2 linked regions of the Rhinolophus ferrumequinum genome follow. The protein of the gene in region 1 binds, or shares a complex with, the protein of each later gene. Links are inferred from orthologs where the notes say so. Each region holds a gene or a part of one and is shown on either strand. Other genes may lie near its edges.

What was found. The genes of interacting proteins can lie anywhere in the genome.
Region 2: the proteins of ATP8B1 (region 1) and TMEM30B are in contact, whole or in part, in a cryo-EM structure (PDB 7VGH), measured with the Homo sapiens proteins. The link is inferred for Rhinolophus ferrumequinum from reciprocal best matches to the Homo sapiens genes ATP8B1 and TMEM30B. Residues at the interface, in NP_001361314.1 of Homo sapiens: Trp362, Val366, Ser369, Ser370, Trp371, Tyr372, Leu373, Tyr374, Asp375, Gly376, Phe418, Trp421, Asp422, Leu423, Tyr426, Asp431, Pro433, His939, Trp942, Arg946, Tyr968, Phe971, Asn972, Gly973, Ser975, Ala976, Gln977, Leu1003, Gln1005, Phe1049; in NP_001017970.1 of Homo sapiens: Gly9, Ala10, His11, Gln12, Pro13, Asn15, Phe18, Thr19, Gln20, Gln21, Arg22, Leu23, Pro24, Ala25, Trp26, Gln27, Pro28, Leu30, Ser31, Ala32, Ala35, Leu38, Phe39, Phe46, Leu49, Leu53, Tyr109, Tyr111, Asn116, Phe117.

The regions. Positions count from the first base shown.
Region 1 is NC_046302.1:46,736,532-46,744,821, forward strand, and holds the start of ATP8B1 (phospholipid-transporting ATPase IC), read right to left. Parts: upstream 3,208-8,290; 5' UTR 3,097-3,207; intron 2,679-3,096; exon of another isoform or gene 2,581-2,678; intron 1-2,580. UniProt on the Homo sapiens protein: Catalytic component of a P4-ATPase flippase complex which catalyzes the hydrolysis of ATP coupled to the transport of phospholipids, in particular phosphatidylcholines (PC), from the outer to the inner leaflet of the plasma membrane.
Region 2 is NC_046289.1:33,820,454-33,828,115, forward strand, and holds the start of TMEM30B (cell cycle control protein 50B), read left to right. Parts: upstream 1-4,569; 5' UTR 4,570-4,701; coding exon 4,702-5,763; 3' UTR 5,764-7,662. UniProt on the Homo sapiens protein: Accessory component of a P4-ATPase flippase complex which catalyzes the hydrolysis of ATP coupled to the transport of aminophospholipids from the outer to the inner leaflet of various membranes and ensures the maintenance of asymmetric distribution of phospholipids.

The sequences.
Region 1 (8,290 bases):
TTAATAAGGTAACAAAACACCTACAGACATGAATACAATTAATTTAACTGAATGATGCCAACAACCAGACCTGAAAAATCACAAGATACCTAAAGACATCGCAAAGAAAAACTTCCTAAGAAATTAATCTAGACGCAAATATAGAAGCAAATTCTAAAATTAAGTCCTAAGAAACCTAAACATCACCTCTCTGTAGAGATATGGGTCATGAATGGGCCCCATAAAACTCGTTCTACTACCTAAAAAGCAAATTCATCTGCATTCATAAGAGCATAGGCTTGGGCGGCTGGGCGGCTCAGTTGGTTAAAGTGCAAGTTCTGAACAACAGGGCTGCTAGTTTGATTTCCACATGGGCCAGTGAGCTGCGCCCTCCACAACTAGATTGAAGGACAACGACTTGGAGCTGATGGGCCCTGGAGAAACACACTGTTCCCCAATAAAAAAAAAAAAAAAGTCTTTAATCCTTTGGGAAAAAAAGAGCATAGGCTTCTTTTACAATGATTGAAACTAAAGAGAAAAGGTGACTAATAGATTAAAATCTCTCTGGAATGGGTTATAACGGTCACCAGGATTCCATGAGTGCTGTTTATGAAAAACAAAATGGAATTGAGATTAGTAAGGCAATACACTATTTAAAATATACCAACTACCTAGACATCATACTAATTTTAAAAATGTCAGTTTAAGAAAGAAAACAAGAAAACATATGGATCAGGCACCTGTTCTCTCATTTAATTCTCTCAACCCAAGCAGGCTAATAATTATCTTTTTTTCCCCAGCAAATGAGTAAACTGAGGTTCAGAAATTTTAGGAATTCATCTGAGGTTATACAATTTAAAGAGTAAATAAATATAATAAAAATAAATTGTAAAAATTAAATACAATTTAAGTAAAGGAAATGAAATCTGTGGGAATCTAAATCCATGTTTTCCACTGCTCCTTGCTTTCAAAGGAAGACAGAAGGAAAGAAGGAAGAAAGGAAGGAAGGAAAGAAGGAAGAAAGGAAAGAAGGAAGGAAGAAGGGAATACAGACAGACAGGGAAAGAAACATTTTACAGTCAGATCTGCTCAGTGTCATTAGTGCTAAGATCACAGAGGCTGAAATCCAGATGAAACATGGAACTAGTCCTGAACTTGACTTACACCTGCAGCTTCTTTTCGTTAAGCCATTTGCTTTACCAATCCATTATTTTTAAAGCGTCAGTTATAAAAACTAAAAACAAAACACCGCCCAGTTCTATCACTAACAAGTAGTAAGTGCACACTTGCATGCATTTTCCTTAAAACAAAAACCAGAAGGAAAGCTTGAAAGTAGCCAGAGCTGCTCTCACACAGATGGTTATTTGTGTTCACTAGCATTATCCATATGGGTCTTGTTTGGCCCTCAATAGCAGACATGAAAAATCACTAAAAGTTACCAGAGCACCGGCCACTAGAAAATGGCAAGTGAAAAAAGCTGTTAAGGTTTCTTACCAATTATAAAATTAGGAGGCCTTCACTACATAATGAAAACCATTAAGAGAATTCAGAGGGGTAATTGCAGGCAGACTGACTTCTCCCCAGACAGTAATCAGCTAATAACTATTAATCATCTTTTGCACAGTACATGCATTTATAATAATTTTTCTTTTGTTTTTTGTTTGTTTTTAGGCTTGCAAAAATAGGCCAGAATTAATCAATGGCGTTTTAGGTCTAACACAAAAGTACTCCTGAGACGATGAAAATCAGAACTTCTATTTCACGTTTTGTGTTGTTTCCTCTTTTTATATGCACTTGTATTTACTATCACTGCAGACTTTTTATCACACATCATTTTTCAGTTTCTGTTCCTAGAAGCAGTTAACCTTGGTCCCTAACCTACTGTTTGGCGGGTGAAGTTCAAGCACTTCGCCTACGTTGTCTCCTTTAATTCTCAAGGAGTGGAGAAAGACATTTGAAGGCAATGCAACGTGGAAGATGGGACGGACTCTCTTCTCAAGCCAACAGGGCGGACGGGTTTCCGGGAGGGGAACTCCGCGGCGTCCGGAGCTACCCAAGCAGGACTTGGCGCCCGCCAGAGGCTGCCCCGGCAGGCCGAAAGGGTCGGCTGAGGTTGAGGGGGCGTCACTGGACGGAAATGTGGCCCGGGTCCCCCCTACTTGCGCATGTCCACCCCGCTCTCCCGTTCTGCATCCTCGTCCTACCTCTACAGCTGTCACGATTCTACGTTCCGAGGCTCCCCCCGTGGGGACCAGGCGCTCACACCTCCTGGGAGAAGTTGCGCGGACAGTTCTAGCTTTTCTTTCACTTGGGGAGGGATGGGGACGTGAGAGGTTAGAACACTTGCCATTCTCTGCAACACCACCCACGCCCTACAAGTCGCGATTCAGCACGCATAAACCGAGGAGACAACCCTGGCCATCAAACTGGGAAGGGACGGAGATGGGCTGTAGCAGTCAGTACGATGGGAGCTGGCAGACACGACCCTACAATCACCAAAGTAACCCTTTTCCCCACCACCTCCCAACCTGCGTAAAAGCGCACAGAAGATGTCCAATGGTGCCTGGTCCCGGTGGAGGCGATCTCACGCTCCATCCTTACCCGCAGGTGCGGTCAGGTACATTTGGCCCTAAGGTCTTTTTCGGACGCGTTGGCATCGGCTCCCAAAGGGGGTTCCGGCAGAGCCCGGCCACTGGCGACTTCCAGAGGGGCAGCAGAACACTTTATGGGAAGCCAACGGCCCTTCCCGAGAACCCGCAAGCCCCGCCAGGCTTGACCCTCGAAGCTGAACCCTGGTCATGTGTGTAAGCAAACGAGCGAAGAACCCAAACACCTCCCTCGAGTTCCGTCTCCTCCCAGCAGGTGGTAAAACCCCATGGACCGCTCCACAGTGCTGCTTGCCGGGTCAGCTGTGCTTCCCCATCCCCGAGGCCGCGAAGGCTCCAGGCACCCCCACCCAAATCCCACCCGTGCGGACTCAGGAGCCCGAGGGCGCGGACAGCTGCTGCCACCGCATCCCGGATCCCCAGAGTTCGCTGACACAGGGGCAGTCAGAGGACCCTCCCGGCCGATGAGGAGGGGAAGGTCGGGGGACACTGGCGCCGCGCCCCTGCTTACCTGGCGCTCTCTGGGCCCCGGCTGGGGCATCCGCCGGGTGCGCGCCTCTCCGCGCGCTCGCTGCGCACCTGGCCGCCGCCGCCGCCCGCCCGCCAGCCCGCCCGGCCCCAGCTCTGGCCGCGGCGCTAGCGCTTCATGGCTCACGGGGGCTGGCCCGGGGCTCCGGGAAGCTAGTCCAGTTGGCGGCGGCTCCTCGGGCTCTCGCAACTCGCCAATGGCTCCTCGCCTTTCCCCGCCCCGCGTCCGCGCGCCCTTCCTCTGCGTCCGCCCTTTTCCCTCCGCTCCTCGGGACCGGCCAAACTGGTTTCTCCGCTCCGGGATCGTGCCTCCAGTTTCCCTTCGGCAGCCGCGGCGCACAGCAGGGGCTAGGGGCGGGCCCAGCCGTCCGCTCTCCTTTTGTCCCTCCTGGGGGCGGAGAGGGGCTGGACCGCGAGTCCACTGGGCGGATAACGCGGCCCGGATCCAGCCTCGTGCCCTCCGTGCGCCCCGGCGGCTGCTGGGCCCCCGGCCGTGGCCTCCGCCGCGTCCGTTCCGCGACCTGGCAGCTGTGGCCGCTTTCAGCTCCCCGGGTGCTCCCGCCTCCCAGGGGGCCGCGCTCGCCACCCCGCCCCACCAGACTCGCGTCACTTTCCCGCAGCCCTCGGCCGTCCTGGCCACCACCCGGGGTCGGTGACCGCGCCAGCCCGGAAAGCTGGCGGGCCACGGCTCGCCCGGGACCTGAGCTCCCTCGGTAAGGGGAGCTGTACCCTCTCGATGCCAAGTCACGTTCCCGGATAGGTCATCAAATGCGTGTCGCGGTTCGACGCGCGGAGGGTGGGGAAAGAGACACTGCCAAAAGACTTCGAGAAACTTATCCTGTAATTGCAGCAGCAGGCTTTCTGCTGAGACCAAACTCCCTCACCTTTACAGGTCAATAGGAGTCAGGGTATGGCATGTGAATGGCACGATGTGGTTGGAAAATTTGGACTCCCATGCAAGGCTGATAGATAGCTGGTGTCTGGGCATGTGAAACGATTCTCCCTGGCAGGATATATAGTACAGTACACTCCTTACACCAGAAGAATTTTACTGCTCACTAGCTATGGACAAGCCGCTGGGATACGAATGAAGGAAAGTCGAAGATGAATCACAGTCTGCTTAAAATGTAGCAGGGGAGATAGGACTTCACCTACCTGCAGATCAGAGAGGCTCAGGTCATTGCATTGAGAGCTCAGAGTTGCAAACGGGGGCTTACGGGAGACTTCAGCGAGGAGGCCATGCTTGAGGCGAGATTCAAAGACTCACACGTTTAGGAATCAGAATAGTATGAAGAAGATATTCAAAAAGTGGTTTACTGGGGCAGCCGGATGGCTAAATTTGTTAGAGTGGGAGCTATGAACCTCAGGGTTGGCAGTTCCTTTCCCACATGGGCCAGTGAGCTGCTCCCTCTACAATTAGATTGAAGGACAACGACTTGGAGCTGATGGGCCCTGGAGAGACACACTGTTCCCCAATATTCCCCAATAAAAATTTTTTAAAAAATTATTTAGTCTTTAAAAAATAAAAAAGTGGTCCACTGATTTGACCTTCAGGAATGAAGGTATATGAACGAATCAACTGATACAGTTAAACCCTAGACTGCCCTGGGTTTCTTTTTCATTAGTCACACTTGATCTTTGACTAGGTAGTGATGGTCAGTCATTTAATCTCTCAGGGCCTCAGTTTCCTCATCCGTAAAATGAGACTGCACCAGATGATCTCAAGCGGTTCCTTTCAGTGCTTCTTTTCTGAACCCAACAACAGAGCAAAGTACAAAGGCCTGAAAACACAGTCTGTTTAGCGACAATGGGGTAGACCAGTTGGCTGGCACTGCAATGGTACTACATAAGGTTAGTGAGGGAGTTGGGGCCCGGAAGTCCTGGAATGCCAGCTAAGGACTTTGGGCTTGCTCTTGGCAGCGCCTGTAAACCACTGGGAGTTTATGACCACAGCAGTGACCTGATCAAGGTTGTGTTTTAGGCACAGGAGTGGGGATAGTTTGGAATAGGGTAAGACTGAACATGGAGGTACCCTCTGGCAGGCTACCACAGCAACATAAGGTGGGCCTGAAGAAGTTGCCAGTGGACGTGCAAAGACAGAGGCGCGTCCAGGAACATCCCGAGGAGAAATGGCCGAGACGCAGAGTGGCCAGAGCCTGCAAGTGGCCGGCAGAGGGAGGCATAGGAGATGAGCAAATTCTCCCGGCTGGGTGATGGCATTAGTAGGAACAGCGGAGTCAGAAGGAGGGAGGACGCTGAGGGGGCTCTGCCCTGCCAGGAGAAATGCCAGTAAACCTAGGAATCAAGAGGCGACTCTCGACTAAAGGAAGGACCCCTTCCTTCTTCCACATCTATCAGCACGTGCTCAATCTGTCTAGGAAAACAGATCCTACGCTAGGATACATCCAAACCACACCACACCCACACCCCAATTTGATAAATACCATTCCTTCAGCTGCATTTAACACCTGGGAATAGACACTGAAGACGTCAAGTTAGATTGCTGCTCTCACAGACCACAGGGCGGGGGGAAGTGTGGGCAACGGGACACGATGGGTATTGTTTCAAAGATTCATTTATTTAAGAAATATTTGTTGAGTGCCTACTATGTGCTAGGCACTGTTCTGGTTACTTAGATAAATCAGTGAACCAATCCGGCAAATTGTATCTTAAAAGATGACAAATGCTTTGGAAAAAAATAGAACAGGACTGGTTGGCAGGAGGCCACTAAAGGAGCCATCTAGGGTGCTGTAAGAGTTCCATACCTTGATCTGGGTGGTGGTTAGATGAGAGTATGCGGAGATAAGAGTCCATTGACCTGTACACTTAAGATGTGTCCATTTAAAAAATCATAAAAATAGAGCAGGGTAAAGAGATTAGGAGTGGGAGAGTGAGCTGCAATTTTAAATAATGTGGTCAGGGTAGGCTTCATAAAGAACTGCATTTGAAAAAGACTTGCAAGGTGAGGGGGTTTCTTTCTCAGTGAAAGAAATTCTTTGAAGGCCCATCTTGCCTGGAACCCACCAGGAAAGGGCATGCTCAAGCCTTGTCCTGGTGAGTTTCCCTCACCTAAGCCTTCCGAGCCTTCCTGGTCACTGGGAAGGAAATCTTCAGAACATGTCAGCTGCTGTGCTGTTGCTGATAACGGAAGTGGCTCACCTGGAAATCCTGACCCTTGTTCTCTCTGAAAGAACTGTGCCAGATTTCAGGGTGCCTTGTCAGGTCAATCATTGAAAGTGTCTCACGCACGCAACAAAGAAACAGTCATTTCTAAAAGGGTGACAATGCTTTTCAGCTTTTGTAGTTCGTAATTTCCTCCAACTGTGTGTGTGTGTGTATGTGTGTGTTGTTTTCCTTTTCTTGGCAACACTCCCGTGTATTTCCATGATGTGGGTAGAAAAGTTGGGGAGGTTGCCAAGAGAACTAGCTCACTTTTACTGAAAATGCATTTCCTAGAATATTTTTCTACGAGATAAGAGCTAAGGGATAAAAGATATGTTTAAAGGGAGGTGATACTGCCTGTATTCAGTTCTTTGCTAAACTCAGTGGTCATTTAAGCTAAAGCATTTAATGCCAATGGAAAGGTAGTCGTGGCCCACTAGGTGTTACTGTAACCCATGCTTGGCAGTCAAGATTAACTCAGTTGGAAGCTGAATTCTTCACAGCCATTGTCTAGACCAGCTCCAGAATTGCAAACATGATACGAAGGTACCTCTTATATGAATCTGACTTTTTAATAAGTAAAATTAGCGACTTCGACTAGTTTGCCTACTTTCTTTTAAGTGGTATTTAAAATAGATACAGATGATATATTCTATCACTGCCAAATAATTTTCCAAATTCCTTACATTCGTTTCATTTCCTTTACTATTTAACGACTTCTTTTTTCTGACCAACATTTTAAATTAAAAAATTGGATTGCAAGAGTAACATTAAACGTCAGGTAATTGTGTCTGTTATTTTGGCTTAATATTTCTGAGAGGTTAGAAGAAGTATTATTTGTGAGCACATTATTAAAATTCACTTCTCTTTCTTTCATATTCATGATACGTAAATGTACAGGATTACTCTACAGTTTTCTTTTCTAAAGGATACATGAATAACCTACTATCTATCCACGGAGAATGAAATGAACATTACATTGAACTTATGTTGATAATATAACACCAGTTAAACTTAATTTACATAATTAATTTAATGAATAAATGTCCCCAATGTCCTGTGCTCATCGTTAGTATGTGTAGCCATGTTTTCGTGTAGCTGTAAGAAGTGCGTACGTATTACCTTACGCTCTATTTTCACAATTGACCATTGTGTTATGAAAACATGTCTACCTTTCTAACTTCGTCCCTCCTTCCCCACGACTGGTATGCTAAGCTCCCCGCATCCCAAACTGTGTGCAATTCACTGAATGCTGAATAGCATTTGATCCTCCCTCGGCTTGAGAAGTTGTTCTCTTCTCCCTGATCGCCAGCTCCAAAGTGACTTCCTCTGAGTCATCTTTGCCCTTCTCTCCCCCAGACAGTAGCTTCCATAGCATTTTGCACCTTACTTCTGGGGACGCCTTTACTTCATTGTTTTTTAACTGTTTGTCTCCTACCCAACGCACTGTGAGCCCTGTGAGACCCAAGATGGAGTCGTCTTCTTCTTGGTCTCACTTGGCAAAGAACATCTCCACGTGCCTATTAATTTTTGTAGAATGAATGAATGGTCTGCATCGTCACAGTCTCTCTGTGTGTGTGTGTGTGCGTGTGTGTGTGGATAGCTGTATAGTATTTTCTTCTACTGATGACTTCATCATTTGCTATTGTGGAACATTTATGCATTTTCCACATTGGTTTCCAGAAATATCTGACCAATCACAACCCACCACTATTTTAAGGGCTTCTAAACATCTATTTCTCTCTGGTTCCTATTATTTTGTGGGTTGTGATTTGATCTTCTTTACGTCATTCTAGAAACAGTGTGCCTCCGGTACAGGAAAAGGTTTTGCTTTATTAGAAGTAGGACACGTGTAAGCCTTTGTTGCTGTCACTGGAGCAATAGAAAGAATGGTATTCAAGTTCTTCCATAAAGTTATAGCAATCTATGCTGTGGATGAATACTGCCTTCTTTACTTTCCTAAACTGTCTAAAGAGTATGTGTATTGGGGGCCAGCCCGGCGGCTCAGGCGGTTG
Region 2 (7,662 bases), on another chromosome or scaffold:
TGAATGTTAACTATTCATTCAATGAGTCAGCATAAGGAAGGACCTCTTGAGATGACTAGGTACAGAAATCTTTGCATTGAAAGAGATATTCACTATCATTTTGGCAAATATGCTCATACAGATAAGCAATCAGGAGACCAGAGAAGTTAAGCAATTTGACCAAGGTCACAATTATATCCTGACAACTCTAGAGTACAACTTGGACTTCCTTAATGTCAGGCCGCATTCTTTCCCTATCCTATACTGCTTCTCCTAGTATCTGATAGATTTTTTAGCATAGACTAAATATATTCTGTGGTTAACAACTAATTTTGTTGGCAAAGTTTTGGTGAATGTAGTAATGTATACAGCGTTGTGATGGTATCAAAGACTCTAGCTGTATGTATCTTTAAAAAGTTTGAACTTTAAGCCCCTTGCCTACTTTTAGAAATTCATCCTAAGGAAATACGGTTGACCCTTGAACAAGACAGGTTTAAACTGCGTAGGTCCACTTATTCGTGGATTTTTTTCAATATACTGGAAAATCTTTTGGAGATTTCCTTATTACCATGAAGCGATCATATCCATTATACTAGGCTACCCAAAGCAATTATATTGCTGCTTCTTCGTTATCAATGGATCGTTATACCTGTAAATAAATATGAATTTCTTTTTCACATTATCTTTTCATTTTTGATGTCTAGCATTAGTAATATGTATAACATTTACAGTGTTTTGTATCATATAAGACAATATTGATGTAGGTTACTGACAGACAATTCATTTTATAAACAGATGACATACGATTATGATATCAATAAATACAGTACTGTAAATGTATTTTCTTTACCTTATGATTTTCTTAATAACATTTTTTCTCTAGCTTACGTTATTGTAAGAATACAGTATATAATACATATAACATACAAAATATGTGTTAATCAACTGTCCATGTCATCAGTAAGGCTTCCAGTCAAAAGTACACTATTACTAGTTAAGTTTTTGGAGAGTCAAAAGTTATACGTGGATTTTTGACTACGTGGGGGTCAGCACCCCTAACCCCTGTGTTGTTCAAGGGTCAACTGTAATATAAAAGGTTATATGCAAAAAGATGTCCACTGCTATATTCTTTGGAATACTGAAAAACTGGAAATAATTTATATGCCCAACAACAGAAGTGTAGTTAAATATGGTAGATCCATGAATTTTGAAACCATTAAAAAATTATAAAACCACAAAGACATATGGAAAATATTTTATTCTTCATCTCATTCCAAAAGGAGGTAATTTAACAAGAGAATGATAATAATTGTATTTTTATCATATAACCAATAAGAAATATAATATTTATATGGATAAAATCCAAAAGATAAAATGGAAAAATTATTTACATCTTAGAAATACTGGAATTGGGAATGCCCTTTTCTTTCACTTTGAGTTTTCTTTATAATAAAGAGGTGCAATGAAGAATTGTTTAGAATGAACTCCTTTGTTTACTTTAATGGTACTGAGAAGACTTTAAATGACCCAGATGACCTTGGATGCATCATGGTAACACGTATAATCAAATGAAAGACATAAGGTCATATAATGAACTTTCTGAGAGTGACAATGATGTATATCAGTCTTGACCTTCAGAACTTATGAGCTGGTAGAGGAAATATGACATACACATGGATCTTGGCACTGTTCCACTTGCAAAATCTTTAACATCTCATTTCATACCAGTGCCTTTTCCCTCCCAGCTTTCATGCCACCTGTTCCTTAACATCATCAGGACTGCCAGCCTACTGGTCCCTGTGTTTTCTTTTCATTCACCAGCTTGGTTTCATTTTCCTTGCCATTAGGCTTAAACACTAAAGCCTATTCCTTTAGTCACCTCCTCCACAAGAACCACAGTATCTCAAACCTTTACCTTTCCGATTCACCTGCCCTGAAAACCCCCGTTTGCTGGACACAGTCAATCATTTGCCATCTCACATCCTGGGTTGCAGGAATCCCTAGACAAAGCCATCCAACATCCTTTCATGTAACCCTGGCCAGTTCTTTCTCCCTCTCCTCAAAGCCTTCCTGGCCAGTTCTTTCTCCCTCTCCTCGAAGCCTTCCCTGCATCTCACACTTTCCCTTCCGCCCCCTTCCCCAATTTTTACTGCATAGAAATTCTTAAATGAAAACTTTCTCTCCTTAAGCGGAGCCCAAAGTCCCGGTGCTTTCTGCATCCAACCTTACTCCCTGCTCTCCAGTTTCAGAGGTGAAGTGACTCTGCACCTGTTCTCTGGACCCAGCACCTTTTGCCTGTTCCTGCCTTTGTACCATCCATGAATATGTCACGCCTGTCTTCAACCTTGCCTGAACTATTATCATCTTCCCTCAGAATAAACACTTGTTTGCCCTCTATAAAGAAGCCTTTCCTTTTGGATACATACTCTTCTAAATGATTTCTACTTGCCTTTCTCCTTCCCTTACCACACATTTCTAAAAAGAGATATCCTATCTTGGCTTCTCTACTTCCTCTCTCCCTCACGTGATAGAGCCTGACTCTTCCCACCCCTCCACCCAAACTGTTCACACATAAGTCAAATTCAGTGCTCCTTTTCATTTCTTATCTCACCTGAACCTTCAGCTGTTTCACCCTGTTGACTATTCCCTGTCTTGATTTTCTCTTTTGGCCTTTGGGACCCTCTGATTGTTACCTTACTTAGCAGGATGAATAAACTTCAGGTCATCCAGGGAGGTGAGAGCTGGAAAGGCTCTCCGTTCAAGAGAACTTGCATTTTTAAGGGAGTGTTGTGTCATGGCAGTTGTTAAGACGTAAGATTCACTATATTAAGTTTTGAGAACTGAATTCCTTCCTCGAGACTAGTTCTGTGGACTCTATGTCAGGCTGACTAATGATTCAATGATTTGTAGTGAGTGGAACTCAACCATAATGATACAGAGAACTGTTTATTCTTTCATCTTATTGAAAAAAAAAGGTGTAGTGGAAACTGGAGCATGCTATAGGAACTTGTTGGCATTTCCTCTCTTGGGATATGACTAGAAGTGAGGGAAGTGGAATTCAAGTCATCTAGGTCTCCCTCAGTAATTTCTAATAGTTAAAGCATCCAAACTGCATTCATTCCACTCAGCGTGATAGAATGAATTTTTCATTATTAAAACAGTATTACCCTTTAATTTTAGTAACTTTCTTGTAAGGTATACAATTTGGTACTTGATTGCATGCTGTCTATTGGCTATTTTGATTTTTTCTTACTCCTAAGTAATATGTCTCCTATCAGACTGCAAATGTGTTGAGGTCAAAGGTCAATTTTAGTCTTATTCTCTTCTATTTTCTCTATTGCTTAGCAGCTTAGCATAGGACGGAACACTTGGAAGATGCTAAAAAAAATTCCTGCCATTTAATTTAGCAAGTATTTTAACTTTCCAAATTTCAAGGGGATTTGAATGACTCCTGAATACAGTATATTACTCTGGGCACAGAAATATAATATAAAAAGATATTTAAGCTATTTGCATTTTATGAGCTGTAGGCGAGACAAGAACACCTCAATAATACCTAGGGAGGATTTAGCACAAAGTTGAAACTTTTAGCACAAAGTTGTATATTGTACCAACCTAGATATAAAAGCCAGAAGCTCAAGCGATGTTCAGAGCTAATTTACAATAAGTTCTGTAAATCCTTGTAGTTCACCTCCTTAAGGACATTGCCAATGTCCTTCCTGTGGAGAGCACCTAGATCTTTTGGGACCCTGGATCAGGCCTTTCTGCAAATAATCAGGCAAATACAAAGGAAAAGAAATCACATATAATCCAGTGTATTTTTCTCCTTGTGTGGTTTGGTTTCTCCACCAGCTAGAGATATATTAATATATAAAGGCTCTCACTCTCTTGCAGTCTAATCCTCTTTTTTAAGTCATTTTATTTTTAGAGAACTTTCCAATCTTTTTCAGTTATACAGACAGATTGGGGCACCTGGCCGGAAAATAATTTTTCCTTTACAAAATATGCTAGAATGTGAATGCAGGCATTGAATTTGAAACAGATTTACCCTAGTGTAATCCCCTGGACATTACCATTTGTGGCTGCAAATTGACTGAATGGTGGTCCATAAGTTAACCTACAAAGGCAAGAGGATCTAGTCACTTTTTTCTCCCAGGTAAAATAGGATTAATAACCTAAAATCTTCACGTTTCCAGGACCCACGGTGCAATCCCTCAGTGGAACTCTGTGCTGGAGGCTGCAGCACCTTTGGTTTCGGGGAAAGACTGGCCCAGGCACTCTAGTCACTTGGAAGAGGAAGGGAAGGTGGTACCTGAGTAAGGTATGAGCCACTCACAGGCAGCCTCGAGCCGCCACTCACCTCGAGGAGGAGGAGCTGGCGCCCAGACCTAAAGGAAACGCGAGCCTCGGGTCCACCAGGTGTGGAAAGGAACGCCCGCCTGGCTCACCTCGGGAGGCTGGGCGAGGCTCCCGATTACCAGGCGGGGCGGAGCCGGCCCGGATCACCTAGACCGAGGCGGAACTGTGTGGGGTCTGGTCACTGCTCGTAGAACCTGGAAGTCAGGCTCACCTGTGCGGGGCCGGAGACGGGGCCAGGACCACAACTCACCTGAGCCCGCGGAAACCCGACCCGAGAGTAGCCCCCGGACTCGCCCAGCGCGAGGCGGGAGGCGCCCCCGGCGGGCCCCACACCTTCCGTCCGTCCGTCCCGGCGCGGTCGCCATGACCTGGAGTGCCACGACCCCGGGCGCCCACCAGCCCGACAACACCGCGTTCACTCAGCAGCGCCTCCCCGCCTGGCAGCCGCTGCTGTCGGCCGGCATCACGCTGCCGCTGTTCTTCTGCGTGGGCCTCGCCTTCATCGGCCTGGGCCTGGGCCTCTTCTACTCCTCCAATGGCATCAAGGAGCTGGACTACGACTACACGGGCGACGCCGGCACCGGCAACTGCTCGCTGTGCGCCCTGGCCGACCAGGACCGCGCGCCGCCGCGCAACTGTTCGTGCGCCTGGTACTTCTCGCTGCCCGAGCTCTTCCAGGGCCCCGTGTACCTCTACTACGAGCTCACCAACTTTTACCAGAACAACCGGCGCTACGGCGTGTCCCGCGACGACTCGCAGCTCAGCGGGCTGCCCAGCTCCCTGCGCCACCCAGTCAATGAGTGCGCCCCCTACCAGTACAGCGCGGCCGGCCGGCCCATCGCGCCCTGCGGCGCCATCGCCAACAGCCTTTTCAACGACTCCTTCACGCTGTGGCACCAGCGCCCGGCTGGCGGGCCTTACGTCGAGGTGCCGCTCGACCGCACCGGCATCGCCTGGTGGACCGACTACCACGTCAAATTCCACAACCCGCCGCTGGTGAACGGCAGCCTGGCACTGGCCTTCCGCGGCACCGCGCAGCCGCCCAACTGGCCCCAGCCGGTCTACAAGCTCAGCTCCGACCCCAACAACACCGGCTTCATCAACCAGGACTTCGTGGTGTGGATGCGCACGGCGGCGCTGCCCACGTTCCGCAAGCTGTACGCGCGCATCCGCCAGGGCAACTACTCCACCGGGCTGCCCCGCGGCGCCTACCGGGTCAACATCACCTACAACTACCCGGTGCGCGCCTTCGGCGGCCACAAGCGCATTATCTTCACCAGCATCTCGTGGATGGGCGGCAAGAACCCCTTCCTGGGCATCGCCTACCTGGTGGTCGGCTCCCTCTGCATCCTCACGGGCTTTGTCATGCTGGTGGTCTACATTCGCTACCAGGACCAGAACGACGAGGACGAGGACGAGGAGTGATTCCTGCTTTCAAGGCATCCTTCCTCCATGCCTAAACGCTCCTGCAAGCTACTCTGGCTACTCTCCCTCGCCCCTCACCCCATTCCAACCTCACCTCGCTTTCCCTCCTGTTGTGGGTGAGGGGACCAGAGAGAGGGATGATACCCAATTGGGGGCTACCAGACTCTTGCTGGGGAGCTTGGGCTGCAGAGTGACACAACCTTGCAAATTCTCCCCACCTCCGTCGTGATTTACCTAGTTGACAGGTTAGGTTATTAAAGTCCTTAGCATTCGAGAACTGGAAGGGGCAGTGGAGACTCCTATTTAACTCTTATCTGATGAAGAGATTGAAACCTACCGGTAGAGATATTAAATAACTCATTCAACATCAGGCAACTCATCGTTGGCTTCTGACTGACTCTAGAGCTTTTACTACTACACGATAGTGGGTTGTTTTCTTTTCTTTTTTTCTTTTTCTTTTTTTGGTTGTGGTGGTGAGGGCGGGTAGAGAGTGGAGCCTACAAATCACCTGCAGAGGTATGGAGGGGTGGGGCAGGACATTCTTGTTTAAAATGTAGATAGATTAGGAGACACCATCCCCCGAGATTCTGACACAGTAAGGCTGGTTTGAGACCCTTGAAGCTGCGTTTTAACAAGCCCATCTGGAGATTCCTCCTATATTCCTTCAAATTTGGAGGAATTTCACTGCCCTGTACCAGTGAAGAAGTAGAATACTGGATTTTTCCCTGTTTCCTCCTATGTCTGAGGTTGGGCCTGAAGCAATCACCTCAGTCCAGTTTTTCAGGTAGTCATTTGTTCCCAGGGTCAGTGACAATGCTGCAGGTTTGATCCAGCGCATTCTACCTTGAACATGGGAGGGAATGTTTTAACCTTAGAATTAAATAGCTGGAAGGGATCTTAGAGTGAAAGTGCTTTCCCTACGTCAGACCTGTCTCCTGACTCCTGACCTAGTCCTCTGTCATCTAAATTCGTTTCTATGCTTAGAGAGAAAGGACTACATTCATACCTTTTTCTTAGGTCTAGAAAAAGCTTTTTAATCTATGTTCTCAAGTGAAGAATGTTTGTTTTTAGTAATTACGTTTAAATGCATGCTAAGGAGTAGTCTTATATGTAAAGTAGAACTTAAGAATCATTTGAACATTTGAGATAATGTTAACTAACTACTCTAAAATCATTCTAATATATACAAAGTTACTCTAAGAAGTAATAGAATTTTTAAAAAAAATCTTTTATGGCTAAGGAACTTTAAAAAAATCCTTAGTGATACCATCTTAACCAGTTGATTTGCTGAAAGCAAACAGTTCTATGGTATTCTGTCAGACAGAATTACAGCTACTTTCTAGTTACTACTGTTTTTTGCTCAGGACTGTAAGGCAGTGCAAGACCTTGAAGTATTTTTGTAATAATCAAAGAAATACTGAATTGTATTGAGTAATTTACATTTATTTTAGTCTACTCTAGTTCTTTGAAAATTAATGATCGATGGATGGCGTGCATGTTCATTATACCTGATCTATCTTCTGGAATGTTGTAATTTAAGAGGTTCTGTTCCACTATTTACATAAACTAAAAAATATTTTAGCATTTCCAATATGTTGGCTTCCTAACTCCTGAAGGTGACACAATTTTATTATCAGATTGCATACCGTGATTTTAGGCTAGCATTATATGTACATAGAGTAATTTTTATTTATTATGAATGATCAAGCAGCTCACTAGCCTAAACCTCCTTTATGTTACATAAGAGAATTTATTACAATTTTTTCCTATGTAGTAAAGAGCAACCATGTATTTTGCTGTCACTTGTACAATATTCAGTCTATTGCTATAAAATTTTAAGTGTACTACAAAATTTAAGATATTCTGATTGAATCAATGAGTAAATTTCCAGGCCCTATG